Regions from separate parts of the Mus musculus genome. Here regions 1, 3, 4 and 5 are each reported to be linked to region 2. The links are microRNA targets in miRTarBase. Many come from high-throughput screens and were not tested one by one. Region 2 holds a microRNA gene; each other region holds the end of a gene's coding sequence.

The links. Region 2 holds the annotated microRNA mmu-miR-125b-5p (UCCCUGAGACCCUAACUUGUGA, at 3,032-3,053, opposite strand). A microRNA usually pairs through its seed, bases 2 to 8, with sites in the 3' UTR of a target mRNA and lowers its output. Matches are read on the target gene's strand: a 7mer-m8 pairs with bases 2 to 8, a 7mer-A1 pairs with bases 2 to 7 and ends in A, and an 8mer does both.
Region 1: the mRNA of Madd is a reported target of mmu-miR-125b-5p. Seed matches in the 3' UTR shown: 7mer-m8 at 5,237-5,243.
Region 3: miRTarBase lists Vps4b as a target of mmu-miR-125b-5p. Seed matches in the 3' UTR shown: 8mer at 1,543-1,550 and 7mer-A1 at 1,964-1,970.
Region 4: the mRNA of Bmf is a reported target of mmu-miR-125b-5p. Seed matches in the 3' UTR shown: 8mer at 4,604-4,611, 8mer at 4,563-4,570, 8mer at 3,947-3,954 and 7mer-m8 at 3,407-3,413.
Region 5: the mRNA of Snai1 is a reported target of mmu-miR-125b-5p. Seed matches in the 3' UTR shown: 7mer-m8 at 1,647-1,653.

What each region holds. Positions count from the first base shown.
Region 1 is chr2:91,132,823-91,138,914 of GRCm38, forward strand. It overlaps Madd (MAP-kinase activating death domain), which reads right to left. Exons shown (of 35, transcript NM_001177720.1): 34 at 5,887-5,933; 35 at 4,538-5,579. The coding sequence ends at 5,475. Mybpc3 (myosin binding protein C, cardiac) reads left to right here. Exons shown (of 35, transcript NM_008653.2): 27 at 31-198; 28 at 1,349-1,437; 29 at 1,592-1,787; 30 at 1,968-2,107; 31 at 2,270-2,429; 32 at 2,525-2,661; 33 at 2,914-3,100; 34 at 3,282-3,319; 35 at 3,421-3,694. The coding sequence ends at 3,292. Among named protein-coding and RNA genes, the nearest start is that of Mybpc3, 18 kb to the left of the region's middle.
Region 2 is chr9:41,578,901-41,584,992 of GRCm38, reverse strand. It overlaps Mir125b-1 (microRNA 125b-1), which reads right to left and starts at 3,067; the gene lies at 2,991-3,067. The region is part of intron 4 of Mir100hg (Mir100 Mirlet7a-2 Mir125b-1 cluster host gene); the gene reads right to left. It overlaps Gm51670 (a long non-coding RNA gene), which reads left to right and starts at 5,347. Exons shown (of 2, transcript XR_003948129.1): 1 at 5,347-5,800.
Region 3 is chr1:106,767,448-106,773,539 of GRCm38, reverse strand. Vps4b (vacuolar protein sorting 4B) reads left to right here. Exons shown (of 11, transcript NM_009190.2): 11 at 992-2,752. The coding sequence ends at 1,093. Among named protein-coding and RNA genes, the nearest start is that of Kdsr, 11 kb to the right of the region's middle.
Region 4 is chr2:118,527,482-118,533,573 of GRCm38, forward strand. Bmf (BCL2 modifying factor) reads right to left here. Exons shown (of 5, transcript NM_138313.4): 5 at 1,276-5,178. The coding sequence ends at 5,077. Among named protein-coding and RNA genes, the nearest start is that of Bmf, 19 kb to the right of the region's middle.
Region 5 is chr2:167,540,720-167,546,811 of GRCm38, forward strand. Snai1 (snail family zinc finger 1) reads left to right here. Exons shown (of 3, transcript NM_011427.3): 3 at 1,180-2,095. The coding sequence ends at 1,364. Among named protein-coding and RNA genes, the nearest start is that of Snai1, 5.6 kb to the left of the region's middle.

The sequences.
Region 1 (6,092 bases), not on the chromosome of region 2:
TGATTTTGACTCATTTATGCCTGCACCCAGGCTCCGAGTGGACACCTGCTCTGCAGGGGCTGACAGAGCGCACATCGATGCTGGTGAAGGACCTACCCACTGGGGCACGGCTGCTGTTCCGAGTACGGGCACACAATGTGGCAGGTCCTGGAGGCCCTATCGTCACCAAGGAGCCTGTGACAGTGCAGGAGATACTGCGTGAGTGCCCTTCTGCTAAAAGGCCTGCCACTGGCCACCCTTTGCCAATCAAGACAGGCTGGGGACATGGGCTTTAGTAGGCAAGGGCAGGGACAGGGGCTGGGGCAGGAAGGGCCAGGGCCTTCATCTATGCCTTGGGCTCTCTTGGTTCAGTCCCTAATTCTGGAACAGGTACTCCAGCACATAGGTATTGTCCTCAGAACTGAACAGTGAGGCTTTTCGGAGCCATTTAGGGTCGTCTGGGATACACTTCCCATTCTTCTGTTAGTCTTTGTTGTTGTTTGAGACAGGGTCTCTCTACATAGTCCTGGCTGTTCTGGAACTATGTAGACCAGGCTAGCCTCAAACTTACTGTCTGCCTCTAACTCCTGAGGGCTGGGAATGTGCCATTTGCACCTGGCTCATTCTGTTCTTTACCTCAACAAAGGTAGAAGGATTGGTTCTCTAGGTCAGAGGGAAGCAACAAATTGACAAGCATAGAATCAGAGCCTTTGCTTACATTTTTCAAGAATTGTGGCTCCAAATAACTTCCTTACCATCTTGAACTGAAGCTGAACACAGTGGCACCCCGCCCCCACACACCCGTGCCCCCGTGCCCCCACCCTGTAGTGCTGGAGGAGGGTGAGGGATGTGTAGCAGGCTTGGCTGTATGAGCTCCCCCTCAAAAGATAACACAGGGGCTGGGAAGATGGGCTCTCTGTTAAGAGCACTTGCTGTTCTTGCAGAGGATCAGGGCTTGGTTTCAGCACACATATGTGTGGCTCATAACCATTTCTAACTCCAGTTCTAGGGGACCCATTGCCTTTTTCTGACCTCTACAAACACAGGCACACACATGGCGCACATATATGCATGCAGGCTAGATGCTCATGCACATAAGTCCATAAATAAATCTAAAAAGTGAAACACACACACACACACACACACACACACACACACACACACACGATAGTAATATATCGAAGCTCACTGTACAGCTTTTAGTGTTGAGCATACTGCAATTGCTGTGGGTTAGGAGAGTCTGGCCCATGGGAACTTTTTTCTCAGCTATAGTGCTCTGGACCCTGCCCCAGGAGAGAATGGACCTGTGGAATCCTTAGGGTTGGGCTACAGAAGGGCTGTTAGTGAGCTGCCTCCTTTCTACCCACAGAACGACCACGGCTCCAACTGCCCAGACACCTGCGCCAGACCATCCAGAAGAAAGTTGGGGAGCCTGTGAACCTCCTCATCCCTTTCCAGGTAGGCTGACTCCTTCCCTGTCCCTAAGAAGAAACCACAGTTGAAGGATCTCCTGAAGGCTGCAGACCCTGAGGCCTCCATCCACGTGTTGCTGGTGCAGAACCTGCCCCTTCGGAGCGTCAAGCTCAGGGTTGGGCTGGTCATCTTCCCCCAGGGCAAACCCCGGCCTCAGGTGACCTGGACCAAAGAGGGGCAGCCCCTGGCAGGTGAGGAGGTGAGCATCCGGAACAGCCCCACAGACACGATCTTGTTCATCCGAGCTGCCCGCCGCACCCACTCGGGCACCTACCAGGTGACAGTTCGCATTGAGAACATGGAGGACAAGGCAACGCTGATCCTGCAGATTGTGGGTATGTGGGCCCGGAACCTCCCTTTCAGCACCCTTGTCTCCTGACCTTGTGTCTGGGAGCCCAGCTCAGAGCTCCTGCCGAGGGCACTTAGAAGGAGGGCCTTCTAGGTACTAACAGGCTCCTGCTTCTGCTCGGTCACTTCAGAACGCTCAGTGTGCCAATCAGATCTGTCTCCTGCAGACAAGCCAAGTCCTCCCCAGGATATCCGGATCGTTGAGACTTGGGGTTTCAATGTGGCTCTGGAGTGGAAGCCACCCCAAGATGATGGCAATACAGAGATCTGGGGTTATACTGTACAGAAAGCTGACAAGAAGACCATGGTGAGCCTGGGGCCCTGGGTCTACATATACCCTCCCCTGTGCTTACCATTCACCCCCAATCCATTATTCTGGTTTCCTGCATGGTAGGGGTAGTGGCACAGGGGGTACCCAAGAAAGGCAGAGGTCCCTCAGAGAGTCCTCCCTTCCTTCACCATCCTCCAGGAGTGGTTCACGGTTTTGGAACACTACCGACGCACTCACTGTGTGGTATCAGAGCTTATCATTGGCAATGGCTACTACTTCCGGGTCTTCAGCCATAACATGGTGGGTTCCAGTGACAAAGCTGCCGCCACCAAGGAGCCAGTCTTTATTCCAAGACCAGGTGCTGTACCCTCCCTCACACTGTGAGGAATCTGGGGAAGGAGGGGGAGCCTCACTTGGGGTGACCTTCTTGGTACCAAGACTTGTCACCAACAGGCATCACATATGAGCCACCCAAATACAAGGCCCTGGACTTCTCTGAGGCCCCAAGCTTCACCCAGCCCTTGGCAAATCGCTCCATCATTGCAGGCTATAATGCCATCCTCTGCTGTGCTGTCCGAGGTAGTCCTAAGGTAGGGACTCAAGGTCCTGGGCTAGACTGACAGGAGGCTGGTCTCCTAGGCTCCTTATGGTTAACTCTCCCCAGTCTATATTGTCTTTCCCCTGAGCAGAGCCTAATCCCCCATTGCTGACTCTCTGTTCATTCTCAGCCTCTGGCTGAGTCTGGTGCTCTAGTGGGAATTTCTAGAATAGTCTCTCTGAATTCTCACCGGTTCTTCCATCACCAAAATGCTCTCCTTCTCTTCTGTTTACTTGATGTTCAGCCCAAGATTTCCTGGTTCAAGAATGGCCTGGATCTGGGAGAAGATGCTCGCTTCCGCATGTTCTGCAAGCAGGGAGTATTGACCCTGGAGATCAGGAAACCCTGCCCCTATGATGGTGGTGTCTATGTCTGCAGGGCCACCAACTTGCAGGGCGAGGCACAGTGTGAGTGCCGCCTGGAGGTGCGAGGTAAGGAGCCTTCTGGGCCAGGGCTTGGGAGAAAGCAGGACAGCACCATGGACCCTGGGCTTGGCTCTGCTGTCCTGGTTCAAGGAGTACCTCTGGCTGCTAGATCACTGGTCCTGACATGTTCAGTGGATCTTGGCTTTTGGAAGACTAGGGAATCACATGGTTTCCTTCCCTCTTACAGTTCCTCAGTGACCAGGATGGCTCCCCAGAGATGGCTAGGTACGTATTCCAAACCACCTAAGGCCAAGGGCCTAGGGTGGCTATCAGGAAATGGGGGTACAAGAAGCCACAGTTCATCCACAAGGCAGCCTATGTCTCAGGTACAAATGGATGCCAGGCTGTGTACCAGACCGGAAGGGAGTTGGAGGAGCACCCTTTTCTGCTACTGCATGTGTGTGTGCAACTGTGCATCCTGGAAGGACTGGCCAGCAGTGACACCAGGCAGGTCTGCTGGGTTCTGAAGAAACTGACCCTAAGGATAATGTTAATACTGGGAGCATAAAGTGTGTGGGCTTCAGAAGTGGTGACTGGGGACAGGCCCTTTTGGCTGGCTCATTGTGTAGGAGCAATAAAAGATCTGTGCCATTCCTGGGGGTTGATGTCTCCTGTTCATGTCCATGGGAAAGCATACAGCATTCGCTTGGTCACCCCACTCTCCAGTTCAGTGTCCTGGACTTGTGGGACATCAGCACTGGAAAGGATGTCAGCCTCCCTCCACCCTCATGCTCAGGTGAGGAAGTGTGGAAGTGAAAGCCGTTGGAGGCACAGGCATATGGGCCTCATGCCAGTAACCCAGGCAACACCAGCTGGGTGCTATACGGGGGACAGGGCAGTAGAGCCCTGTACTGTATTAGACATCAAGACTCCAAGAGCCCACAGCTCACGACCACATCTCATGGGACAGAGTGACTCCATGCAGCTCAGACACAGGAAATCACAACCTTCTCTGACTTCCTCCCAAGAGACCACATTTCCTTACAAATCTTGTGGCCGGCAGGTCTCAGAAGTGTCATGGCAGTGTGCTGGGTATTCTGCCCACAGGTGCCAGGGTTTCCCATGGCATAGATAGCCCATGAGGGTTGGACATGGGTTACCACTTTATTTTTTACAGAACCCTGGTCCGAAGGCCCTTGGGAGGCCCAGGTCACCACAGCACATCTGAACACACGTGTACAGGGTCACAGAGCAGTACCCCTGTTTTCCTGTGACTTCTTTATCAAGCTGTTCAGGTGTGAATGCCCAAGTCACCTCCTCTCTAGTGCCCAGAACATCTCAGGACTTTACAGCCGTAGTGTCGTAGGTGTTCCTTTCTGGCACCCCAGGAAGCCCAGGAGGCAGGAGGCCAGGGCAGGCTCTCAGTATGCCAACGCTGGATGCAGATGAGCTAGGGACAGCCTTCCTCAGGCCCGGGCTGAGAGGAGTGCACAGGAGCCCAAGTGGAGTTCAGGACATTTATTTCACATCACACAGCTGTACATTTTTCTATAAATAATGTGGAGCTGAAATATTTACATTCTCCTCCTATCCAGTCCATAGCTTTCTTCTGGCACTGAAGCCAGGAGACTCTGCCTGCAGACAGGCGTGCACTCTGGGCTCAGCTCAGCCCTGACCCACCTATCCCCGGCCCTTAGGCAGAGCAGCTGGTGCTGTCTGGGACACCATCACCTCATTCCTCCGTCCTCTCATGCCAAAGGCCAGGAAGACCACTGCACAAATCCCAGCTCGGCACATGGCAGCCACTCAGGGACACCCATCGATGGAGCTGGGGCAGGCAGCAGCATGACATGCACCCACAGTTTAGAAACTGTGAGGAAGCAGGAAGGTCGCCCACCACTTACTGAGCTTCCTTTGAACCTCCCCTCCTCCTCCCAGGCCCTCAGCCAGGAAGATTTGTCCCCAGGTGTCTTTCACTTCCCAGAGTGGAACTGTCCCAGGTGCCCCACAGTGCCAGATCATAGAGGACAGAGAGAAGACTCCTAAACTGGAGGATATAAGGACTAGGACAAGGGACCACAGTGCAAACATCTCAAGGACAGGCAATAGTGGGCTCACAGTGACCCCACAGACACACACACCACACACACCACACACACACACACACACACACACACACACACACACACACACACTCTGGAGCCCTGAGGGAACAGAAGGCTAGTCTGCTATTGTAGGAAGAGAAAGTAATGAGGCTAGCTTAGCCCCGTGACAGATGAACACAAAGACACTCAGACGTAAGAGAAGACCAGCTAGACCGTGGGAAGGAACTTGCTGAGAACACACACACATTCCCATCTCAGTCCAGCAGCTTCGGTGCTTAGGAGCAGCAAGAGGTGAGGGGAGACCCCTGGGCTTGGCCAGCTGTGGAACCCTTCTATCAGCTAGAGACAGGCCGAGGTGGGGTTCGAAGGTCTTCTTCACTGCTACGAACTGCGGCCACATACGAGAAGAGACACAACACAGAGTAGCAGATCTCGTGGGCCTGCAGGGAACAGAAGACCCGTTGGATCAGCCACACTGAGACTCCTTCTTAGGTAGAGGGTCAGCCTAGAGTACGAGGCCTGCCCTGACACTAGTGCAGGCCCCTGGGCTGAGTGAGCCTCAGGCAAGTCTCTGGAAGCCTTTCTCCTGAGAGAGGGGGGTCAGCACATGTACCCCAGATGAAAGGTGTGTTTGACTTGAGTTGAACCCCTGGCATCTAGTCCCCCGCGAGGGTCCACCCTTCTTGCCGGAAGGTTCCCAGGGAGCCCTGCGTGCTTCGGCCTGCTGTGGCTGGGACGCATACTCACCATTGGCGTCTTGTACTTGTGGCTCACCACTTCTTTAATTTCAGGAACTAAAACCGGACGGGCAAGAGACAAAACAGAAAGTTCAAAACTAAGAGCAACAGGGTCCTACTCCCCCGGGCGGCTGCGCCCGGTGCCAGGCTCCCCTTCCCTCTGTAGCCTCTCACAGTGGCTGTGGCGGCTTAGGCTACGATAGAACAGAGCTCAGC
Region 2 (6,092 bases):
TTCCCTGGGGCTTGATATGTTCCTAACACTTTCTAAATCATCTGTTTTCCCCTCCAGAAAAAAAAAAAAAGAAAAAAAAAACAGAAAAACCCTACAAAATCACCAAATCACCCTTTGTTACAGTCGCTCAATTCTAATCTCACTGCGTTCTGTGGGAAGCCATAAACTTTTTGTATAAAGGTGTTTTTGCCCATAAATTTCATTCCAGGTGCCAGATTTTAAAATGAGTTACTGTTTCTCTAGCATGCCTCCTTAAAGAAGAAAGGAAGAAAGAAAGAAGAAAGAAAGAAAGAAAGAAAGAAAGAAAGAAAGAAAGAAAGAAAGAAAGGAAGAAAGAAAGAAAGAAGAAAGAAAGAAAAAAGAAAGAAAGAAAGAAAGAAAAAAGAAGGTAGAAAGGAAGGAAAGAAGGAAGGAAGGAAGGAAGGAAGGAAGCGAGCAATTAGAGATTTGAAAATTAAGCATTTTCTGTATTTTTCTTTGAGGGGCAAGATATTGCAAAACGGGTTTCAGCTGGTTCCTCTTGTTATCAGTGGGCTTGCTTAAGCTGTTAAATTTCAACTGCATTGATTTTGAACAGACCAAAAAAAAAAAAAAAAAAAAGCAAGACTTTTTAAAAAGGAGGTGGTTTTGTGTGTGTGTCTGTGTCTGTGTGTTTCAGCTAGGTAAAAAATGGTGAGCCACTGAGCCCTGTGAACTGAATTCTAACTGTGCTCCTAGGAGGCACAGGAGAGCGTTCCACTCATTATCCCCCCCTTTCTCTCCAGCTTCCTGTCCTCCTGCGCCCTGAGCTCCAGTTCCCTGTCTCTTTTCTTCCCCCAGTGCACCCCCACTGCAGCTCCCAGCCTTATTTTTTTTTTTTATCTGCCAGGCTGGATTTGCGCTTTTAAAGATCAGTATCAATAATAGCCTGCTTGTTTCGGTTACACTCTCCCTCTAAAAAGACAGTCCCCACTAATTGATGCGTCTGGGCTAGTCTAGACTGGTAGTGATTGAACCAACCACCAATTATGTTATTCATTTCACTGAACTTCACTGATGGGCTCCATGAGGAAGAGGGGCTGTTGAGAAACCTGCCCTTGCAATGAAGCAGTTGCCTGCTAAAATATAAAAACCTGTGTGTCACACGCCCTGCTGAATGCCTGAGCACCCTGCTTTAGTCTGAGAGTGGGAGGAATCCACTAGAAAGCCTGGGGAAAAGAGAAGTGCCCCAGAGTACAAACCGAAACATTTGCTATTAGTTATGTCTTCCGATCATTTGAAATCACAGAGAAATTACAGCTATCATAGCTTTATTGATCATGCACCCGTTTTCTATCAGATAGGCTGCGTACATATCTTGCCTTCAAAAGCACCAAATGTCTGCCGGTCTTTTGCATGTATGATGTGAGTATATATATTGCCCATGAGTTAAACTGTTGTACTGCCATAATTTCTACATAGCTATACATACGCATTGGCTGAAATGGGGTGGGGAATCGTTAATTATTTTATATAAACTCACGGGCAATCACTTACAGAACTGTAAGCTTTGAAGCACATTCCACCAAATGCTGCCAAGTAATAGTTAAATTACAGCCGCACAGGAGGTTTCAACAAAAGACACAGCACAGTTGTTACACACTTCTCAGTTCAGCGTTCTGATACAAAATGCTTTCTTGACTGCAGTTTGGATTAAAATGAGTCAAATTGCGATAAATGCTTAAAAAAAAAAAAAGAAATCGCAAACAGTTTCCTTCACCTTCCACTCCGTGTGCACAATGAGGCTATTCCAAAATCTTTCCAAGAAGAAAGCATTGGGGGTCTGGGTTGATTTAGGTATTTTTTCCAAAAATGAAGAGAAAGGTTGGGCTGAGGAGAGTAAAACGGTTTAAAGGAAACCACACACCCAGAATTTTCTATAACAAAGACAAGGTAAAGCACCTCGTCCTTCTCTCCCAGTGTGAGGTGGAACTGAGGTGTGGGACTCCCCCTGCCATGGAAAGTTACAATCTCAGAAAACTACAAAGTAGGAAATGCTCACAATCGCCTCGAGAGGGGATTATTTTGAAATGGGGTTTGATATTACCAATAACTTTGTCAGGTAGAATTAACATCCTTGATAGCCATCTTTCTAATTTCTAAAAGAGAGCCATGAGCATTGATTGACCCCCCACAAAGAATGCAACAATACCAAATTCACCCAGCTATTTCTTTCACTCCATAATATTTAGAAAATCCATATCTATCGTTCTTTACTTTAAAGTCCATCATGTATAACATTTTTAGAGTACCAAACCAAGGAGGGAGAATTCTTTCTTCCATTTTTGTTCTCACAAAATCTTTCAAAGTAACACGTATTTTATCTTGCCTGATCTCTTAATTCCCTTCCTTTGTATTGAATACAAGAGTTGAATATTTAACCTCTTCATTTCGTCCAGACTAGAGGTGTATGAATACCTCCGTCAGTGAAACCTCTGTCTGGTAACAGAACACACGTAGACAATGCAGATAGAATACATTCCCATGCCCATTTTAATTGGGCACAATTTTGAGATTAACTGTTGAGCTTAAAAGTTGGAGGCATGGGGCATGCTGGGACTTCAGCTGAGATGTTCTGAGGCCAAGCACCAGGTACTGAGCTGTTGGTATTACGCTCCGATAGTACTGTGTGTTGCTCTCAAGGAATAGATCCGCCAGCCTCGGTATCAGCCATATATATACACAGGCGTCCATAGCAGCCAACACAGGATGCTAACATACTATGCCTACTTTTACAGAAGCCAGGAGCTGCCACTCGGGTCACCTGATCCCATCTAACAATGGAAGCCTCAAGGGTGTATTACCATCACTTCTGACAAACTTTTCTCTCTCTCTCTCTCTCTCTCTCTCTCTCTCTCTCTCTCTCTCTCTCTCTCTCTCTCTCTCTCTCTCTCTCTGTGTCTCTCTGTCTCTCTGTCTCTCTCTTCCTTAAAAGACAAAAAGTTCCTTCAGCGATGCAAAGGCACGACCCGCAGCTCCCAAGAGCCTAACCCGTGGATTTAAACGGTAAACATCACAAGTTAGGGTCTCAGGGACTGAGGGGAGCGCAACACGATTCCTTCATTCTTTCTTGAGACAAAACAAAGCAAAAATAAAATAAAAATGACAGGCAATTTCGGTTGCAGACTCGTGAGTAAAATGCAGCAAACAGGTGGTCCAGTGTGACTACATCCTGGCTCCCTACACCTCTCCCCTTCACAAAATTTAGATTCATTTCTGTCTCCATACAGCCCTGTATATGCAACACACACATATATACCTGAACATATAAATGTCTGTTGTATCAAAGGAAACTTTGTAGCTTTGGGTAAAATCATTTACCAAATTGGAAAATAATATGAATAAGCTCAGAAATGTCCAGTTCTATTTGGAAAGAAAAGAAGCGATCTACAATTGGAATTAAACATCTCTTCAAACCGTTCATTTGTTAACTAGCACGATTGACTGCGGAGAGGAAAATATGCATCTGCCTTCCCCCAGGGCAAGCGTGCCTCATGCAACAATCCTAAGAGATGGGGTTTGCGGGAAGCAGGAAGCAGGAATCGGAGGTAAGATAGGTTTTTTAAACTCACCCATTTGAAGTGGAGCATAGTTGCAGAGCTTCCAGGAGCGCCATCGGGAGCAGGGGGAGAATGTGAGCTCTAGGCTGGGCGAGGTGTTCAATAGGACAGAGAATGGGGCGGGGAGGGAAGGCGGGGGCAGGAAGCGATACTCCAAAATCCAAAGAAGACCGTAACTCTGTGGTTTATGCTTTGACCGGGGGTGGGGGGTGGGGGGAAGGCTGTTGGGTGGGAGTGGAGGGAGGGGCTGGGGCTGATCGAATTTGGAAAATAGTCGGTTAAAAAAAATAGAAATAAATAAATAAATCGAGAGAGAACGAGAAAATCTCCCAAGGACTGCTCGGAAAAAAAAAATTCTTTTTCTTTTTCTTCTTCTTTCTCTAGCATTCAGAGTTCTGTCAGTCTTGCAAAGCTGGCCCTCCTCTGCATCAGCTGCTTGGCTGAGGCCAAGGCCAAAATCACCCAGAGCGAGCACCAGCCTGTCATTTGGTAGACGCAAAGTGGGAAGGGGTGGGTGCGAGCTGGGGAGATGCTCCCCCACCCTCGCCTCCCGCTGCGGATCCTTTGAAGCCTTTGGCCAATATTTCAGAAGAATCCGAGGCGTAATCCCCCTCCATCTTCACAGACAGCTACTAGTGCTGTACCTGATAGAGTCGCTTTCTCGAACCTCCTCTGCCTGGAAGCGGCGCTTTCCTGTGCAGACTCAAAAAAAAAAAAAAAAAAAAAAAAAAAAAAAAAACACCACGAAAGGGAGGGGAAGCCTATGGGAAGATGCCTCTTTAAAAATTTTTCTTTCCCCTCACCCCTCCTTTCTTTCTTTTATCCCAGGCCTGAGCAAAGTAGATGGCTGGCTGGGCACACAGAATAACAAAGCACCGCTGTAAGGAAGACACTGGAGGGGGCCCTTAGACTCAGAATAAAAAAAAATTAATAATAATAAATAAAAAGAAAAGGAAAATAGCTAACTATTTTAAATATGCTTTCATATACAACTAGAAACAGTTAAGAGCTCCAGGCTCACCCCCTCCTCACCAGAAGAACTACAATCATGCCAGCCAGCCAGCCCGCTAAACCGTGTCTTTTCCTTCACTACATGGTCTGTTTAGAACACCTCCCCAACACACACACACACACACACACACACACACACACACACACACACACACAGACAGACACACACCACAGACACATACAAAACTTTTCTTTTTTTCCTCACCTCTGTAGGTTCAGCTCATACACAGTCCTTGGTTCAGCTCATGGTCTCTCCTTTTTTCTCTCCCTTTTGCTCTCCGAAAAGCCAGACCGTCATCACCATACCTAGTCTCTCTCTCTCCCTCTCTCTCTCCCTCTCTCTCTCTCATATTAATAATAATAATAGCCCTTTCGACATAGCAGCATGAAGTGGCTGCCTTTGAGAAAGCACATTTAATCTTTACTGGCTCCCCTAGGCTTCACTGAAGAAGAAGGCAAGGGGAGAAAAAAAGGAGAGAGAGGAAAAAAGGCTTGTAAGGGAGGCTGCTGACGGACAGCAAGCATCAGGCACAAATCAGCGACAAGTTGAATTTTCCTAGACCACACTGCCCCCTTTCTTCTCGGCTCTCTCCCTGGGCTCCTGGAAAGCCCCAGTGTCTGGTTACAAGAGGCAATGGGTCTCTTTCTGCCAGCCATGGTACAGATTCCTCTCATGCCTGCTTAAACCTCTGGCAGAGTAAGGAATCGATATCCCCCTCTAATCACCTTTAGCTCTTTGATGGCTTCCCCCCTTTTTCTGAGAATCCACTTGGCTTCCCTCGCATCTCCCCCCCCCCCTGCCCTGCCAGGCACTGGCATACAAAGCTTGCAGGCTGTCATCTCTCACTTCCTTCCATATCTTGAAGACAAGCCTCTTCGAAAATTCTCTCGAGCTTGCTCTCTCTGTGTTGTAGCATGTCTCCTCCCGGACTAGCAGCACCGGATGCACGGAGACATCTCCCTGACTACTAATGAGATCAAAAATACACCATCAGGTCAGGGGAAACTAGACATTGTAATATATACATTATATATTATATATGTACATGAATATATATTCTTTTGCTAGATCAACAGTTCAGGTAGCCCATTTTCTAAGTGGGGGGTTGGAGCACGTTCAAGATGGTGAATGTGAAGAAGTGAGACCTCTGGTGCAGTGTGGTTCTTTGGCCAATTGTTTGGCATCCACACACGAGTGCGGATGAGCACAGGTGAGGCTGCTTGTGAAATTCTCCTGTTCTTCTTTTTTTTTTTAAATGGGCAGATAGTCAACAACACCCCAAACATTTCTTTGAAATTTGTGTGTGAAAGCATAAAAGAGCAACAACTCAAGTCTATATTTAAGATACATAGACGCTCTTCAGGCACACAATGACCATGATGCTAAAACTCTTGCCTTTGAATGGCCGAGTTTTGCCGGTTGCCTCCGGTTGCAATGTGCACTAATTTGCCACTTATGGTCCTGGGATTTGGAAAGCCACTCACTCAGTCTCCTCCGCTCAG
Region 3 (6,092 bases), not on the chromosome of region 2:
GTGTGTACATTTACATTGTAGAAATTAAAGTAACTTCACGGTTTATTTTGTAAGGTGTATCTTTATAGAAGTGTGGTGCTGCAGAAATCTGCTTGGTTACTGGTGAACACCCAGTGTCAAACAGCTTTGGCCTTAGCTGCCAGTTTTCAGAGTGCTTTGTGGTAGGTTGGACAGGAGCATTAAGAGAGGAGACTGATGTGCTAGTGAGCAGACATAGTCTGCTGTGTGTGTGTGTCTGTATAGGGACACAGACTCAGTGCTTGTCTGAGTACTCAGAAGTCCCGCTTACTGCAGTACTTCCAGATGAGATTATTGTTGTAAGTTTTATGTTCTGTCCTGATTTGAAGAATTCAGAGTAACTTACAGTGGTTCCTTTTTTCATTTGTGATGTAATTTTATAGGAAACGTTCATTTTAATGACTTTCTGATGTTAGTGTATTTTCACCATTTCACTCTTAGTTTTAACTTTAAAAAATATTCTCATTGCTGTTCCATTTAAGTACAACCAAGTGACTTATAGAAATATATTTTTGTAGTAATAAGGAGTACAATTTAAAAAGGAATATAGTGATACTACTACAAAATGCAGTTTATAGTTTTCATCAGAAGGATTAGAATAATGTAGAGGGTTTTACTATTATTGAATGCTAATAGTCTTGACTTTCAGAATTCGATACTTCAGTTACAGAATTCCACAGAGACTGTGCTAAATTATCAATTGCTTGTGCAATTACCATTTTTCTTCTGGGTTACACTTGGTGTGAAATAGACCTCTTGTTGAAGATAAAGAGTTAGACCAGGAGTGAGATGGTGGCTGGACTATGGCCTGTCTTTGTAGGAGGTAGTGAGCATGGTAGGTAACGAGGAGGAAGTTGCTGCTAGGAGCTCATAACACAGCACATTTTCCTAGGCAACTGTAAATTCACAACGAAGAAGGACATTTATACTGTATTGAGTCCATTGTTAATGACCTCTTTCCTTTCTCTGACAGTGGGATATGCTGCGGTCCCTGTCCAGCACAAAGCCAACAGTCAATGAGCAGGACTTGTTGAAGCTGAAGAAGTTTACAGAAGATTTTGGCCAGGAAGGCTAACACAAAGACAGCAAGAACATGTTTATGCTGCATTTCTTCTCTTTTGTAGGTATTTTGCCTTTCTTGGATGACATTCAGATTATTTCCAGCAAAACTCGTTTACCCAGGGAAACATACATGTCACTTGAGTGTTCCTAAAGTCTGTGTTGTCCTTTTCCTTCACTGTCTGTTAAATTCTCTAATTCACAAACATTGTCGAATTGTAAGGAAAGCAACAATGGTATGAGGAACAGCAGAGTGGGGACATCGAGGAGCCTCGCCCGGCTTCATGGACAGCAGCTAGGATTCTCATGAGTACTTGTTCAAAGAGCAAGGCCTTTTTTCTTTTCCTAAAAATGAAATTGAAACGGGGCTAAAGCTAATGGTATATAAATGTCTTGAAAAATCTTTAAGCATTTTATCAATGTAAACTTACTGCTTTATTAAAAATTAATGGTAGAATCTTTACTCTCAGGGATGGGCAGCAAAACGCAGAGCACTGATGAATTTGGGGTTTGTGGCACAGCCAGTGCTCCTGTTGAGTTTCTAGTGGGCTGGTTTCTCCTGTATAGATTAAAGTGATTCCTTTAAAGCAGTGGGCTTTTATAACTCCATGACTCCTTCCACTGTGCACTCGAGACTTTCTAAATCAGTAGTCATCTTTGCCTTGTCTACGCAGTGTCTTTTATAGCCAAGATTGACCAAAAGAGGTAGCAAACAAGTATGCATTTTTCGAGAATTGTCATGAAATACTGTAATGGGAAACTTTAATAAGAAAATGACTTTCTTCTGGACTTTGGGATGTTTCCTGTGGATGATGTGGGTATGTGTGTACATATATATACATAATTTTTAAAATATTAGCGAGAGTCATGTCTTTCACTTTTAAGTTCAGGGAGCAGTTTGTTCTAACCACACAAACATTCTCAGTGTGGTATTTCATGGAGCTTTAGAGACAAACTAATGTCTCATTACATAATGAAATATGAACATACCATCGTGTTATTTCAATGTCTTCAAATACATGATCTGAGGGTGTATGTCACATACTTGTGTACCAACTCTTAGTTGTGCCTTGGACATTTGCATTGCCTACCTGCAAACAATTACTAGGTTAACTAGAATTGCTATGCAGTTCTACCTTGCGAGTGCTACACGGTAATTGCATTTTAAAGTATATTTGCACATTTTACATGCTATGCTATATGATTGCCTTTGGGTTTTGTGTACAGACTATTTTTGTTGATATTCAATGAAAATTATAGGCTTGAAATAATACTGTTCCTATGTGAAGTAAATTGCTATAACCTACTTTTGGCTTTTATATGTTTTTTTTTTTTTTATTTTGGAACCTTCTACATAGGAGAAAATGTCTTAAGTTGGTTAGATAAAAAGAAATAATTTATATTTATTAATGAGCATATATGAAAGATTCAAGGGTAGAAGTGCACACCTATAATCTCAGGACTTCAAAGCTAGTCTAGTTTCCATAACAAGACACTGTTTTTTAAAAGAACATTAAAATTCTGCTCTTCCACAGCTACTGTGTGAAAGCTGTAAGTTATATTGGCAGAATAATACTGAATTTTTTCTAAATGAATTAATTTGTGTAGCATCTTAGTTGTTGAATTAGATTTTAATTAATAGATCCTACTTCCAGCCTCAGTGCTTAACATTCCCAAAGAAAGACACACAGAGAGCTTTTATATTTTGATATGCCTTAAACAGTGCAACAGCTAGGCCACTTCCAACCTCCATGTGGTTAATCCACCTCCCACTGATAATCTTGATCTATCACTTACTACATTCTGTACTCTACCTTGACTGCCCTGGGCCTAGCTGGGCAGCCCTCTGGACCACACTGTCCCAGTTCCTAGATGGCAGCTATGCCTCCCTGTCCTCCACTCTTCTCAGGCATGGCATCTCCTCTCCTCCACACTCTCCAGGCATGGCAGATCTCCTCTTCCTCCCTCTTCCCTAGCTTTTAAGCCCTGGAATCCTGACGTCCTGCTTTTGTCTGCCCTTCCCAGCCATCCTCTGCTGGCATCTTTATTGACCAATCAATACCAACTGGGACAGGGTCCCCCAGTGCAGACTCTCTTGCAAACCGTTTTGGGGACCCAAATTAACATAGTACAAGCAGCACTAGGCCCAATCCACTATAGTCAGTGTTCATTGCGTGAAGAGAACCGTGACCAATGTGACTCTTAAAAAGGAAAGCCTTTAATTGGGTCTTGCTATAGCTTCAGAGGGTTAAACAGTTGTCATGGTGGGGAACATAGCATGCTGGTAGACATGGTGCTGGAGAAGTAGTTGAGAGTTCTGTATATCTGCAGACAGCAGAAAGAGAGAGAGCCACTGGACCTTGCTTGGGCTTTTAAAACCTCAGCACCTAACTCTGGTGATACACTTCTTCCAACAAGGCCACACCACTAACCTTCTCAAGTAGTGCCACTCCCTCATAACTAAGTACTCAGATATATGAGCTTTGGGAGCCATTCTTATTCAGACATGTAATTTGTGAATAAATTATATATAAACTGTTTTTGATAAGTCTCTGGTTAATGAGAATTAATATAAATTTATTTAAATACACTTGAAAGGGAGAATTTTTGTGAATCCAAAGTTCAAAAAAAATCTATATAAAATTGGTGAAATATATGAGCAAATGGTAATAATAGTGTTTAAAAGTGGATGCTTTAATTGCACTTAATTTTACTTTTTATAAGCAAGGTCTTAGCTGGCTGGCTTGAAACTCACTATGTAGATCATGCTGACTTTGAACTCACAGATAATCCCACTTGTTTCTGCCTCCCAAGTGGTAAAGGCATACACTACTATGCTTAGCCCCTCATACTTGATTTTTATATATCCTTTAAGACCTCTGTGTTGCTGTGACTTGGAATTATTGCTCCATTCCCTAAATCTATTTATAGGGAATAGATTTATTTATGTAATCTAGCATCTTTACACTTCTGGAATGGTAGGATTTGCTTCACAAGCCATTTTCATGTATTTAAAAAAAAACATTAAATTATGTGTGTGTATGTTTTTCGTGATATGGTGGGGGAGCACATATGGATGTCAGAAGACCCTTATAAAGTTGGAGGGGAAACATGGATGTCACAGTGCCTTTGTGGAGTTGGTCCTCTCTTTCCACTTAAGTTCAGACTGTCAGGCTTGCCTGGCAAGTGCTCCTCCCTCAGCACTGAGCTATCTTGCCAACCCAATCTGTGTTCTTTGTGTAGAAAATCATTGGAGCCAGTGTGTGCATGTTCTGCCTCTCAGGTCTGTGACTGCTCTATAGTTTTAGGTAGACAGTTTCTGAGCTATCAAGAAGACCCTTGTGGCTGCCCATCATGAGCTGCACACCACATGATTAAAAGTGTTATACCAGTCTGAAGAATTGTAGACTCTGATGTCAATACATCAGCAGAGAATTGACTGCTGAGTTCACTGTCTGTTGGCAGGAAGTCAAGATGGTGCAGCTCACACTGAAAAGCATCCTTTGCCACTGCTGTGAGATAAGAGAAAGGAGGCAACACTAGTGGTCAAGCATAGCATTGTCAGTGAGGTGGTTTTGTTTTTTTGGTTGGACTGGGATTTGGGAGGAGTTGGGGCTCTTTGTTTATTTTGAGATGGGATCTCATCCCATCTTGGCCTCCCAAGTGCTTCTAGTATATACTTCTAGTATAGGCACCTGGTATCAAGCCCTGCTTATAATGAACATTGCTCATTGCAGGAGATTTTTGTTTGTTTATAAATACTGTGCATCAGATTAAAAAAAAATGTATGAATTTGAAAAGTAGACAAACATGTTAGAGTGTATCTTTTGAAATTCATATAATGTACAAAATGTAGAGCATGCACTGCCTAAAACTTTAGCACACAACATACTTAGCTTAAATAAAAATTCTTACCCACCTGTTAAATGAAAGGGGCAGTAGAGGGAGAAGCTAACAGTACTTAAGTCTAGTGAAAGGAATATGAAAAACTAATCTCTAAACAAATAAAATATAAAAGTCAGTATGAATGACAGGTTGGTAGTTACTGATAGGAATTAATCTCAAGTTCTGGGATATAACAGAAAGCAAGTGTGCATGTGTTGTGTGTAATATATCTTAAGACATAGAAAAACAGGATCACAAAGATATTCATCAAATGAATGTCCTTTGAAGAGTTTCTGTCTATTCAAATTTCCTTCCTGGTCCAAAGCATGCTCTGGCCTCTCCTATGGGAACTCAAATGGGAGATCTTTTTCCTTCATTCCTGTCCAAGGCTTAGTGGATACAGCCATTCCGGTTTTCACTTTGAACATCTAGAACAAAGAAGGGCAAGGCATTGAAAATAGGCTTGTTTTTTGGTGATGGTACACACCTTCAATCCCAGCACTCGGGACAGGGCCAGAGCAGGCAGATCTCTGAGTTCAAGTCCAGCCAGGTCTACAAAATGGGTTCCAGGGCAGCCTGGACTACAAAGGGAAAAAGAAAGAAAGGAAAGAGGGAGAGAGGGAGGCAGGATAGGATAGGATTGTGGTTAGTAGTAGCATCTAACAGGAAGCCTCTTGGCAGCTATATAGTAGAATCACAATGAAAACTTGAAGAGCACCTGGTAGAGGTTGAGGCAAGGATAGAGGCCCAGGGATCTCCCTTGGCTGTGTTCAACAGTTCTTGTAGTCACAGTACTAAAATAATCTAGATAGTGTTTGATCAGTATTTCATGTCACAGGTTTCTAAATTGTGTTAGTCATATATCCAGATTTACCATATGATCCATAGATACTTGTGTATATGCATTTGTAACACTGAGAAGAATCTGAGTGAGAGCAGTATGAGGAAGGTGTGTGAAGATGGATCATGTTTGTGGTCAGCCTGGACCGGGAGTTTCAGATTTCAGATGTGGAGGGATGGAGTTGGCTCAGTCTTTGAGAGCACCTACTGTTCTTGCAGATGGCTGAAGTTTGGGTCCCAGCACCCAAATGTTAACTTGCCACCATCAATCCATAGGCACAGATGTGATG
Region 4 (6,092 bases), not on the chromosome of region 2:
GCAGAAACTCTGAGTTTCAGGCAAGCCTGAGCTATAGAATGAGTTCCAGGGCAACCAGAGCTATACAGAAAAACCCTGTCTCAAACAAACAAACAAATCCACACTTAGGTCTTTATACTTGGTACAGTATAGCGAGAACTATTTAAAAAAAATCACCGGCACCACCGGAGCTATATCCAGCTACTCTCTTCCCGAGGTCTTTCCACCCCAGGCTAGCCCCATTTGGTGACCGATCCTGGTTCTCTTGCTGCGGATTCTGCTCACATTCCCAGACACCCACCCACTGTGGTCAGGGGTCCCGAATCCCAGTAACCCAGTAAAATCCAAACTCTAGAGGCTTGGAATTTATAAGACAGATTTGTATCAGTAAATTCTCACCCCGCAAAACGCCCACACAATGAACTCAGAGCCAATTGATATTGATATAAACTGCCCACCTAGATAAGATAAGACAAATTGTCCTGAAATTATCCATCCCTTATAAGACCTTCCTAGCTACCTATGGCTATCTATGGGATAGCCACATGAGCAATCTGGATCTTCTCCCTCTTCTTCCATCATCCTTCCTTCCTCCTTTCTCCTCTGTCCACGGGAAGAGAGCAGCTGGGTATAGCTCGGGGTGGTGCCGGTTTTTTAATAGTTCCTGCTACAGTACAGTACGCATTTGTATTCCCTAAGCCATCCCCTTTCCCTCCACCCCTATCTTTGTGAACTGGGGATTGAACCTGAGGCCTCAGGCCTGCTTGGAATGTGCTCTACCACCAAGTGACAGTCTCCAGTTCTTTCCTTTTACAACAGGGTCTTGAACTCTCTATAGCTTTAATCTGTGATCTTCCTGCCTCCATCTCCCAAGCAGTTGGGAGCATAGGCCTATGCTACCATAGTACCCTGGTAAAAGGGATCTAGGCTTCAGCCTGCCAGGGGCATGGGTTGTGTGTAGAAAGGCAGGAGGCTCATCACCACCACAGAGGTTGCCACTGCTGGGTGACAGGTGGTGGGGCCTGTGATATAGTCCCTTCAGTGCTTTGAGGCAGGCAGAGCCTGGACCCGAACCCAGGCTGACCCCTCCAAAGCCCCTCTGTCCCGAGGCACTGGGCTTCGGTGGCTCTACTACTATGCAGCCAGACTGTTCTTCTCAACTCCAAGAAGTGAAAGACCATGACAAGAGTGCAACACCCCTGTCGGTAACTCTGGCTATCATGGGAGAAACACGTTAAGGCTGTTTGATGCTCCCTCTTGTACTTTTAACACACCTTAGAAAAAATAAAGAACAGATCTGCTTTAAATGGTTTTATTAAAAACTGTACCACTTGATGGATGAGAGGATATTTACACATGTATACATATAAAGAACCAAAAAAAGGTCAAATATTATATACAGGTTAAAAAATAATGGTCCCCATTCCTTTCCTTAAGGCAGGATGCCCAGACCCCGGGCCAACCAGACTGGGGATGAAGGAAATGCTACATCTCGCTGGGTCTCCCCGTGTCAGTTTCTGTGAACCCAGAGATGGGGTGGACATCAGACAACTGTAGAGAAAGGGGCAGTGCAAGCCTGGGGTCACAGACCTCATAGCACCTTGGCCAAAGCTGGCATATATGGAAGAGCTCAGCTTTGTTCTGCTGTCTTCCTTGAGGCTCTGTCCCCTAGGTCTGCAGCCCACAGGAACCCCAGGGAACTTGAAATGACTGTGGCTCCACCCTGTATCCCTCTAGGTCCAACCAGGGTATCAGGCCAGGATAGCCTGTCTCCAAAAGGCCTTATCTTCATAGCAGCCACAGTGGCCACTGTACTGATTCCCCCAAATCCTGCAGAGCCACGAAGGCTGATGTCTTGTTACTCCATACACTGGTACCCGCCCCCTCCCCAGTAAGTCCCAGAGCGGGAAAGCTCAGAATATTCTCCTCGCTGACCAGGCAGGACTGTCACAGTGACCTCACTGCTTAGTTCCTGGAAAGCTTGGGACAGACAGGGGCCTTGGCTAGACTGTCCCCAACACCCACTCCCTGCCATGCTCAGTGTTGGGCTTGCGTTTCGCCACTGGGGCAGCAAGGCAGGCCAGCGGGGCCTCTCTGGGCTCTGGAAACAAGCTCTGCCACATAGCTCTGGACACAGCCCATCCCCTGGGGCCTGAAGGAGGTCACCGGGAGGTGATCTTTTTCCACCTCTGATTGAGCAAGACAAGGCCACTGGGGACAACTGAACAGCACAGCCAAACTTTGAAACAGAGAGACAGGGCCAGGCAAAGTGCCCACCCTCCCCCCACTCTCCTGCGTACCACCCCAGTCTCCCTGGGGGAGTCAGTGACGGGACTGGGGGATGTTCCTCTCCAGATCTGTTCACTGGCTTTTAGAAATGCCTCCTGGGGATTGTGAATTAGTAGAGCAGTTTGGCCCCTGAATACAGGGCTTCTGTTCCTCTAGGGCATTTCTACAGAGTTTTCCAGCTCTTCTCCCACCCCCCATCCTCAGCACACCACAAAAGCCTGTTGCCTTCAGCTGGTTACAGGTCACCACACAGGTCAGACCCTCCCTCCCTCCCTCAGAATCTGAATCTCCACTCTTCACTAGAGACAGCCAAGCTCCTGGAGTTCTGGAGAGGCAAAGGGGAGGGGTTGTCCAGGGGCTGGACTCAGAGACTATAAAACCAATTCACCAGGCAGAGATCACCGGCCAATTAAAGCAAGCAGCCAGGGGGAACCTCTTGCCTCCTTGAGCTGGGCTGCCAGCTGCCTCCAAGAGGTTGGAGAGAGGGGGCATATTTTTATTTATTTATATTTTACAGTCCTGGGATCCATCCGAGGGTCTCTTGACCGACAGGCAAGCCCTTTATCATTGAGCTTCAACTCCAGCCTGGATTCAGGTTAAAGATAAAAGAGGGTTTAAGTTTCACCCTGGCTTGCCTGAGTTAGTAAGTTTGGTCCCGGCTTGGCCCAAAATGGAGACAGTACATTCTGACCAGCTTCTGCCTGGTCCAGGCTCAATGTTCAGGTCAAACTCTGGGCTCAGTTCTCAGGCCACAGGGTACCCAGCCTGCACCTAGCAAGGTTGCTGAAGCTGACAGTCATGCCTTAGGACAGATGGAAAGTCTACTAAGTTATGTTAAAGATAACTGAAGTACAAGGTTCTGTATGGGGAGGGGCACGCATGTACCATCAAGCACATGTATTGCAGCACATGTACCAAGCACATACCAGAAGCCTGCCTGTCATAGCCTTGATCCAGGAAAGGGGAAGACCACATATGTCCCACACACATCTAAACTGCAGGGAGGGTGGGATGTAGGAAGGCTGGGCTTCACAAATAATCAAGCCCACCCTCAGAACCAGTCTTCATATTCATTACTTGGGTCCCCTCTCCTTGCAAACAGAAACCCACTTTCTTAGCAGACGAACTATGGTATAGACCCTGAGAAAAATGATTGTGGCCAAGAAGAGGTAATATCTCCAGGTCATCTGAGCAGAAAAACACAAAGGCTTATACACATGCCTTAAGGTCCTCCTCAGGACCACTGAGAGTGCACACAGTACCTTTGTGCAAATTAGGAAAGACATTCCTTACTCTGGGCAGACCCTGCCCACATCAGGATGTGCAGCCTAGAGAGCAGGGCACAGGCTGGACCTCAGCCTCTATGAGCCCCCTCTGTCGGTAGCCTTGGCAGGGAGAAACCTGCCCAACTGGACACCCAGGAGATCCGGTGCCCTTTTATGGTACTGAAATCCGCCCCCCCCCCCCACTTCTGCAGAATGGGGAGTCACTGGGCTTGTTCAATTTGAGTCTACTCTGAGTTTCTCCTCCAAAGTCCTTGAATAATCCTGTGTTCTTCTTTGTCTAGGGAAGCCATCTTTCTTTGAGCCTTGGCTCATCTTCATTATAGCACCAATGTCTTTCCTTACATACATAACACTTAGGACTTAATTTCTAAGATCAGCTGCTTTTCGTTCCCTCCCTGAGCACTGCAGCGGGGAGAGAAGGAAGGAGCTCCCAGGCAGCTAAGGTCCTGCTGGGTTCTAGAACTCTCCTTTCTGGCCTAGCTGAAAGCTAAAGGGAGATTCAAGATGTGTCAGCTCTGCAGTTTCCATGGTCTAAACATTGTCTGTTACTTCCAAAGTCACTTTTCAGCTGACAAAGCCTCAGTCCTAGCTTCTTCCTGTATCCCGCTAGGTACAGAAAAGGAATGGGGGTAAGGGGGAGGAGGTACACGTTTCCAAGGAAACCAAGAGGTCTAGGATTCCCCCGGGACCAACTTATCAGTGGGATGGCTGCTGGGTTCCCACGCCCCCAGCAAGCCCACCCCATCTCCAAGTGCTTCTGCTGAGATGGATGCAGACAGATCCAGTCCAGTCATTGGCAGGGTCTTCTGAAAACAGAGCTGACAAAGGCACAGGCCGCTGGGTACAACGGCATGGTGACTGGCTACTTGGCTCCAGCAAAGGTGGCAGTAGTTTGCACCCTTGGGGACCAATCAAGGGGCTTCCATGTAGGACCGAGTCAGACTTGAAGCCTCTCAAGTTTGATTCATTTTGTGGCACCTTTGAGGGGTTCTTGGAGAAGTCCGACCCTCCCTGAGGTCTTCCGGAAGTTGACAGCGTCTGAGTAAGAATCCCTGAGCCCATGCGGTGGGCGCTGGCTGTGCCAAGTGGGAACCCAGACGTGAATCGGGCTAGCCAAGGCACAGTTGATCTTAGCCAGGAGGCTCCCAGACAGGGTCCTGGTGGGTTAAAGCCATGATCCATCAGGCACGAAGGAAGGCTGACATGTTTGATGGTACTGGGAGCCTAACCTGACTTAACCAGCTCCGGTAGCAAGTCTCAGTCCACTTCCTGGAGAACATCACCAACTGGTCATCTTCAGAGCCTTAGGAACTCTACCAGCAGACACAGCTGCCTCTCCTTCAACAGTGTTTGACAAAGGCCCCCATCCTCAGTGGAGGTTCTGAACGGGGAAAGAAGATCCCACTGGGGCATGTAATATGTACACATGGATAGAAAGTTACGGATAACAAAACTTAACAAGACAGTATCTGTCCTCCCAGACTGCATTCCTGGTGATCCATCCGGCCAGGGCGGTCCAGCCTCACCAGGGCCCCACCCCTTCCCTGTTTTCTTGTCTGTTCAGGGCGAGGTTTTGAAGGAAAAGGAAGACCTGCCACCACGCACGGTCTCGGTTCTGCTGGTGCTGTAAGGAAAAGAGATGACCGTTAGGTGTCAGGCCACAGGCTCCTTACTGGGTCCCCAACAGGCTCCCACTGCCAGATCTCAGGCTGGCACCTTTGTGCCATCCAGCAAACTGGGGGACAAGAGACGAACCTCCCAAGACAACTGCAGCTTGGGCATTAAATACACCACGCTGGGCTGTGTGTACTGAGCACAGGAGGATCAGACTTTCTCCCTTGCTTACAGGATTTTTCCAGAGTTTAGCCAAGTACTGCTTTTAATCAGATTGGCTCCTGACACCCACCCCCCCCTTAACTTTAGCTGCATGAACAACAATCTTGCTTGAGCGAGAAAGACAAGAAGTCCCTCCCTCTCCCCCATTCCAAAGGAACACAGAGAACAAGAGAGGGAAGGGGAGGGGGAGCCTCCATCTGCAAGTGATTTGACACTGTGAAGGTCAAAGGGTTAATCTTCAATTTAAACCACACTGCTGAGGCAGCAAAAATCTGATTTCATCCAGTACAAACACACACACACACACACACACACACACACACACACACACACACACACACACACACACACACAGACTTGTGTGAGGCAGCCAGCCCTCTCCCCACTTCAGCATCCCCAGCTCCGGGCTGCCCTTTTTATAGCTGCTTTTGACAGTAAGCCATAAATAATCCCTCTTGGAGCGCTTTCCTACTGACTGGAGCCAATTAAACGTTAAGCAAGAACACACTTGAAAACAAAACAAAAACAAAGAATGCACACCAGCTCTGGAGGTTATCCCAGGTCCTACCGTTAGGCTGGGAAGCTAGGGGGCAAAGTTCAGAGGTCAAAAGCACAAAGGTTTCTGGCTGGTGTCCTGTCTACACAGGTATCATTTCCCAGAGGCCAGCAAAGGCCTGAAGGGGACAAGGGAGCCCTGGAAGA
Region 5 (6,092 bases), not on the chromosome of region 2:
CCCACAGATTGCCAAGGTCCACCACCACCCAGGGCTTTGGAGCCCCACCTGTGTAGCTGAAGACTTGTGTGGGTTTGTGCCCCCTAGGGGGGCTGAAAGCGGCTCTGTTCAGTGAATACCTGCTGAGTGGGTGGATCCCGCAGGATCCCTGCTGAGATTTCCTCTATCCAGAGGCTCAGCACACCCAGGCGCCATTCCTCAGCCCCGAATTCCATCACTAGAATCCAACCAAAGGGCACCGCCTGTGGACTAGCAGGCTGGGAGGGACGGGAGGCTTGCCTTGTTTTGAAAATCCGTTTGGCATTACAGCCTCATGCTTGGCACATAGTAGGGGTGCAGCAGATGTTTGGTTTTGTCGGTATTTGTTAACTCAGCCAGACTGGGTTTAAACCAGAGACCCTCCTCCCTCTGTCTCTACAATGCTGGGTTACAAATATGGACCCCCAGGCTCAGGTCCCCTTTTTTAAAAAGCACATTTATTAATTCAGGTATTCACTGAACAGAGCCGCTTTCAGCCATCCTCGGGGGCACAAACCCACAGAAGTCTTCAGCTACACAGCATGTAATTAAGCACTTACTGGACACAGAGCCCCCGTGTGTCCTTATAGCCCTGGCTGGGCACGGATCCGGTCAGGATCCCAGATGTCTGTAAGCCCCTGGGCTTGCAGTTAGTTAAGGAGAGCTTCCTTACTGCAGAGCGGTGGGCTGCTGGCAGCATGCAGAGGAATGGCCTTGCTGGCTCTGGGTGGGGGTGGGGAGGCCTCTCCAGGCTGCCTCTCAAGCTTTGTCCCAGACAAAGTAAATCAAAGTAAATTCAAGGCTGGTAATAGGAAGTCCAGTCGCAGCTCCCCTGCCTGAGGCAGTGACTACAACCCGGGCTATGGAGGTATGGTGGGTGACCTAGAGCCTGCTGCGTACCTCTGTGCCTCAGTTTCCCCACCTCTAATAGGACTGCAGAAGGGACAGATGACAGGTCAATCAGAAGTGTTCAGTGCCTGCCAGGTGGGAAGGACTTTGTTTCAGTGAGCCCCGCCTGGAGTTTGGAGACTCAGCAGTCTGGTGGTGTTCAGGGCTGCACAGCAGGAAGCCCAGAGACCCGCATCCAGTGCAGGTCTGGCTGTGCTTGGGCTGACCGGGCCCTGTCCAGGCCTTCCTAACCCTGCTGGTATCTCTCCCCAGGTGAGAAGCCATTCTCCTGCTCCCACTGCAACCGTGCTTTTGCTGACCGCTCCAACCTGCGTGCCCACCTCCAAACCCACTCGGATGTGAAGAGATACCAGTGCCAGGCCTGTGCCCGAACCTTCTCCCGCATGTCCTTGCTCCACAAGCACCAAGAGTCTGGCTGCTCCGGAGGCCCTCGCTGACCCTGCTACCTCCCCATCCTCGCTGGCATCTTCCCGGAGCTCACCCTCCTCCTCACTGCCAGGACTCCTTCCAGCCTTGGTCCGGGGACCTGTGGCGTCCATGTCTGGACCTGGTTCCTGCTTGGCTCTCTTGGTGGCCTTTGCCGCAGGTGGCTGATGGAGTGCCTTTGTACCCGCCCAGAGCCTCCTACCCCTCAGTATTCATGAGGTGTAGCCTCTGGACACAGCTGCTTCGAGCCATAGAACTAAAGCCAACCCACTGGCTGGGAAGCTTGAACCCCGCTCAGGGGACCCCACTTCCCTACCTCCCTCAAGGACCCTTCAGGCCACCTTCTTTGAGGTACAACAGACTATGCAATAGTTCCCCTCCCCCCCACCCCGTCCAGCTGTAACCATGCCTCAGCAGGGTGGTTACTGGACACATGTCCAGGTGCCCCTGGGCCTGGGCAACTGTTTCAGCCCCCGCCCCCATTTGTCCTGGTGACACCTGTTTCACAGCAGTTTAACTGTCTCAGAAGGGACCATGAATAATGGCCATCACTTGTTAGGGGCCAAGTGGGGTGCTTCAGCCTGGCCAATGTGTCTCCCAGAACTATTTTGGGGCCCAACAGGTGGCCCCGGGAGAAAGATGTTTACATTTTAAAGGTATTTATATTGTAAGCAGCATTTTGTATAGTTAATATGTACAGTTTATTGATATTCAATAAAATGGTTAATTTATATACTAAAAAGTGCTCAGTGTTGGGGTGGGGGCACCATAAAGGGACTTCCAGGAGGGAGGGGCAGGGCCTTAAGTCTTGTGCTTTGGAGTTCTAACTAGTCGTGAACTTTGGGGCCTGGGCTGCCTGGCCTGGTATCTGTCCCACTCTGGTACAGTGCAAGCTTCCTGAACTCTTAGTTCTTCGGGCTCTCTTGGGAAGGTGCTTTGTGGGGCTTAGCCACAGCCTGGCCAGGAGCTCTGGCTCCACCATAGCAGGTCTTTGGGGCAGAGCTAGCTGCCCCTCCCAGCTGAAGGGAGGATGTCTTTCCTGTTCCCAAGCGCCTCCCTGTCAGGCAGGCCCACACCTCTGTCTGGCTGCTGGGTACCAAATGGTCTTTGATGCAAGGAAATGGGCTGGCTGGAGCCAGGAGGGTGAGAAGCCAGGCCAAAGGGTAGGGGTCATACAGCTTCCTGCTTGGAGGACCAGGGCTGGAGCAATTTACCTCAGGCTAGTTGGTGCTGGTGACCTCAACTCTGAGGGCCTCCTGGGGCTCGAGAGAAAATGAGTGTCCTTTCTAAGCACAAAAGGTGATGAAGGTGCCAGTTTCCTGTGGGGAGCTGAGCAGGCGTCGGCTGGGAGCTTCAGCCAGCCCAGCTCCAACCCGGCTGGGGGGTGGGGAGCTTCCAGCTCCAAAGGAGAGATGAGTCTTCTAAACAGGAAATGGTGACCCGCAGGCGGGAACAGCCTAATGACTTACAGCTTTCCTCCCAAAAGGAAAAAAAAAAGTCTCTAACAATCGCCAAATTGTGGCAGGCCTCCCTGAAGGGGAGGTTGGTGAGGTGGTATTGGGGGCTGGGCATCAACGAGCTGAAGGCCTACTGTGTCCCCAGGAGGTTCCTCCACATAGGTTGAACAGTGAGTGACTTCACCCCGGGCCTGGAGGGATGGGATGGGCCTCCAGGACCAGACTCAGCGCTGAGGGCCTGGCCCCAGGTCTAGTGCCTAGGACTTGGTCAGCCTGGTTCTGAGCGTGCTGGGAGTCAGGTAGGCCTGGCTCCTGGCCCTGACTCTCACCTCTCGCTGCCAGAAGCAAGCAAGAGTCTCTCTGCTCTCGGCCCCAGTTTCTGCCTCTAGAAATCCGAGGCAACAGTGCCTGTCTCTGGAGAGGCTGTGAGGAAACATTCCTTCAGTCATTCAGTGGGTACTGTGAGCCGGGGTGTGCCAGTCCCTGTGAAGAGTCACTGTGCTCAGGAACTCTGTTCTAGTCGGGGAGACAGAAAACAAACAAGCAATTAAACACACTGCTCGCCTGCAGCAGTGCCAGGATGGAATGAGAGGCCGGGAAGACTTGAGAGCAGCAGGCAGGGTTCCCACCAAGGCATCCAGAGCCCTCGGGAGGGTTGACATTCCAGAGAGGGAGGAGGAGGATGGGAAGGATGGAGGTGGAGGAAGAGGGATGGGAGAATCCTGGGGGAGGGGAAGTAGGCTGTGGGGCTGGGAGAAGCTGTCCTGAGAAAGACCATGTGGCTGGGGGCACTAGAAAGCCAGGAGGAGAGGGAGATCAGGGCCTCTCTGGAACCTCAGCCCAGAATGCAGCCAAGGGGCTTAGAGACAGCAGCTGGGACCAAGGTCCCATAGGCCGCCTGGCAGGGCAGAGACTAGAGCTAGGAGAAGGAATGGAGGTGGCATAGCAGGTGACAAAGGGCTCGGGCCAGGGCTATGGTGGCTGGGTAGTTTACTGCCCACCCAGCCTGGGGCCTTCCTCGCTTCCTTGGGACTGGTCCTGGACCCCAGTAAATGGGAGAGAGGACACAGCTGTCCCAGAAGGAACCTCTCTAAGCCTGGGGCCGAGTAGACAGACAGACAGCCTTCTGTGGGAAGAACTGGGGTGGGGACTGCAAAGGGTTATTCACAGAAATGTGCAGCTTTTGACAACGTGAGGAGAAAAGGCTGTCTCTAGGAGAAGGCAGGCAGCCAAACTAGCCAAGGAGAAGTGAGAGAATCAAGGGTGGAGGCGGGAGGGGAGGCCTTCTTTGAGTTTTAGATTTGTTTGTTTTTGAGACAGGGTCTCCCTATGTAGTTCCAATTGTCCTGGAACAAACGGTAGACCAGGCTGGCCTGGAATTCACTCTGTAGACCAGGCTGGCCTGGAAGGCACAGAGATCCACCTGCCTCCGCCTCCCAAGTGCTGGGATTAAAGCCGTGCGCCAATCAACACTGCCATCATTTATTTTGTTTGTTTGTTTGTTTAAGCATTTTGTTGTTGTTGTTTGTTATTTGTTTTTTGTTTTTTTCGAGATAGGATTTCTCTGTGTAGCCCTGGCTGTCCTGGAACTCACTCTGTAGCCCAGGCTGGCCTCAAACTCAGAAATCTGTCTGCCTCTGCCTCCCAAGTGCTGGGATTAAAGGCATGCGCCAACCAACACGGCCACCGTTTATTTTATTTATTTATTTAAGCATTATCTTTGAAGCAGGCTTTTGTGTAGCTCAGGCTAGCTACAAAGTCTTCATGTAGTAGTGACCCTCCTGCCTCCACCTCCCAAGTGCTGGGATAACAGATGTATACAACTCTGTCTTGTTGTGCTCTTCTGAGGATAGAGCACCAAAACCTTGTGTATTCCAGGCAAAAATCCTACAAATGAAGTTTCAATCTAAGCCAACCCCACCCTTATCCCCTGCTTTGAAGAGAAGGTATCACTTTGTAGACTAGGTTAGCCTCAAAAAAAGGAAAGAGAGAGAGAGAGAGAGAGGGAGAGAGAGAGAGGAGTGTTTGCTTTCTGTGTGAAGGGCTTTGAAGGGCTTATAAGCACTGTGGTTTTTTGTGGTGCTGGAGAGATAGCCCAGACTCTCATATACGCTGGTCAAGTGCTCTATGGCTGACTGCAGAGCTACAGCCCCAGCCTGTGATATTAGTTTTTTTTTTTTTTTTAAGATTTATTTATTTAAGTACACTGTAGCTGTCTTCAGACACCCCAGAAGAGGGCATCGGATCTCATTACGGATGGTTGTGAGCCACCATGTGGTTGCTAGAATTTGAACTCAGGACCTCTGGAAGAGCAGTCAGTGCTCTTTATGTTTTTGTTTGTTTGTTTTTTGAGAAAGGGTTTCTCTGTATAACCCTGGCTGTCCTGGAAATCACTCTGTAGACCAGGCTGGCCTTGAACTCAGAAATCCACCTGCCTCTGCCTCCCGGGTGCTGGGATTAAAGGCGTGCGCCCAATATTAGTATTTTTTAAAAGTACAGGCCTTCTAGGCCTGGTGGCCCACATCAACACTCTGGAGGCTAAGGCAAAAAGATTGTCAGGAGTTCAAGGTCTGCCTGAGCTACATAGCAAGACCTATCTCAAAAAGAAAAACAAACAAACAAACACACACACACAAACAAAATAAAACTCAGGTGTGATGGCAGGCAACTTTAATGTCAGCTCCTGGGGGACAGAGGCAGGTGGATCTCTGTATGTTCAAGACAAGCCTGATCTATAAAGTCAGTTTGTGCTGGCTAGTTTCATGTCAACTTGACACAAGCTGGAGTCATTTGGGAAGAGGGAGCCTCAGTGGAGAAAGGGCCCCTGTAAGATATGCCTGTGAGCTAGCCTGTGGTGCATTTTCTTGATTGATGATTGATGTGGAAGGGCCCAGCCCACTGTAAGTGATGTCATCCACAGGCAGGTGGCCCTAGATGGTCAGAGAAAGAAGGCTGAGTAAGTCACGCCAGTCAGCAGCCCTCCTCGGTGGCCTCTGCACCAGCTCCTGCCCCCAGGTTCCTGCCTTGAGTTCCTGAGCTGAGTGCCTCACTTCCTTCCATGATAGACGGCGATATGTCTGTCCTGGGAGGGCTGGCTGGGATGGGCCTCAGTTGGTCCAGTGCTGGCGTAGCAGGCATGAAGCTCTGGGCTTGGTCCCCGCACTGCGTCCGCTGGGGCCGCATGGTGAGGTGGTGCTTGCAGGTGATCCCAGTACTCTGAGTCAAAGGAAGGAAGGAAGCACAGAAGTTCAAGCTCATCCGTGGCAAGTTCCTAAGTTGGAG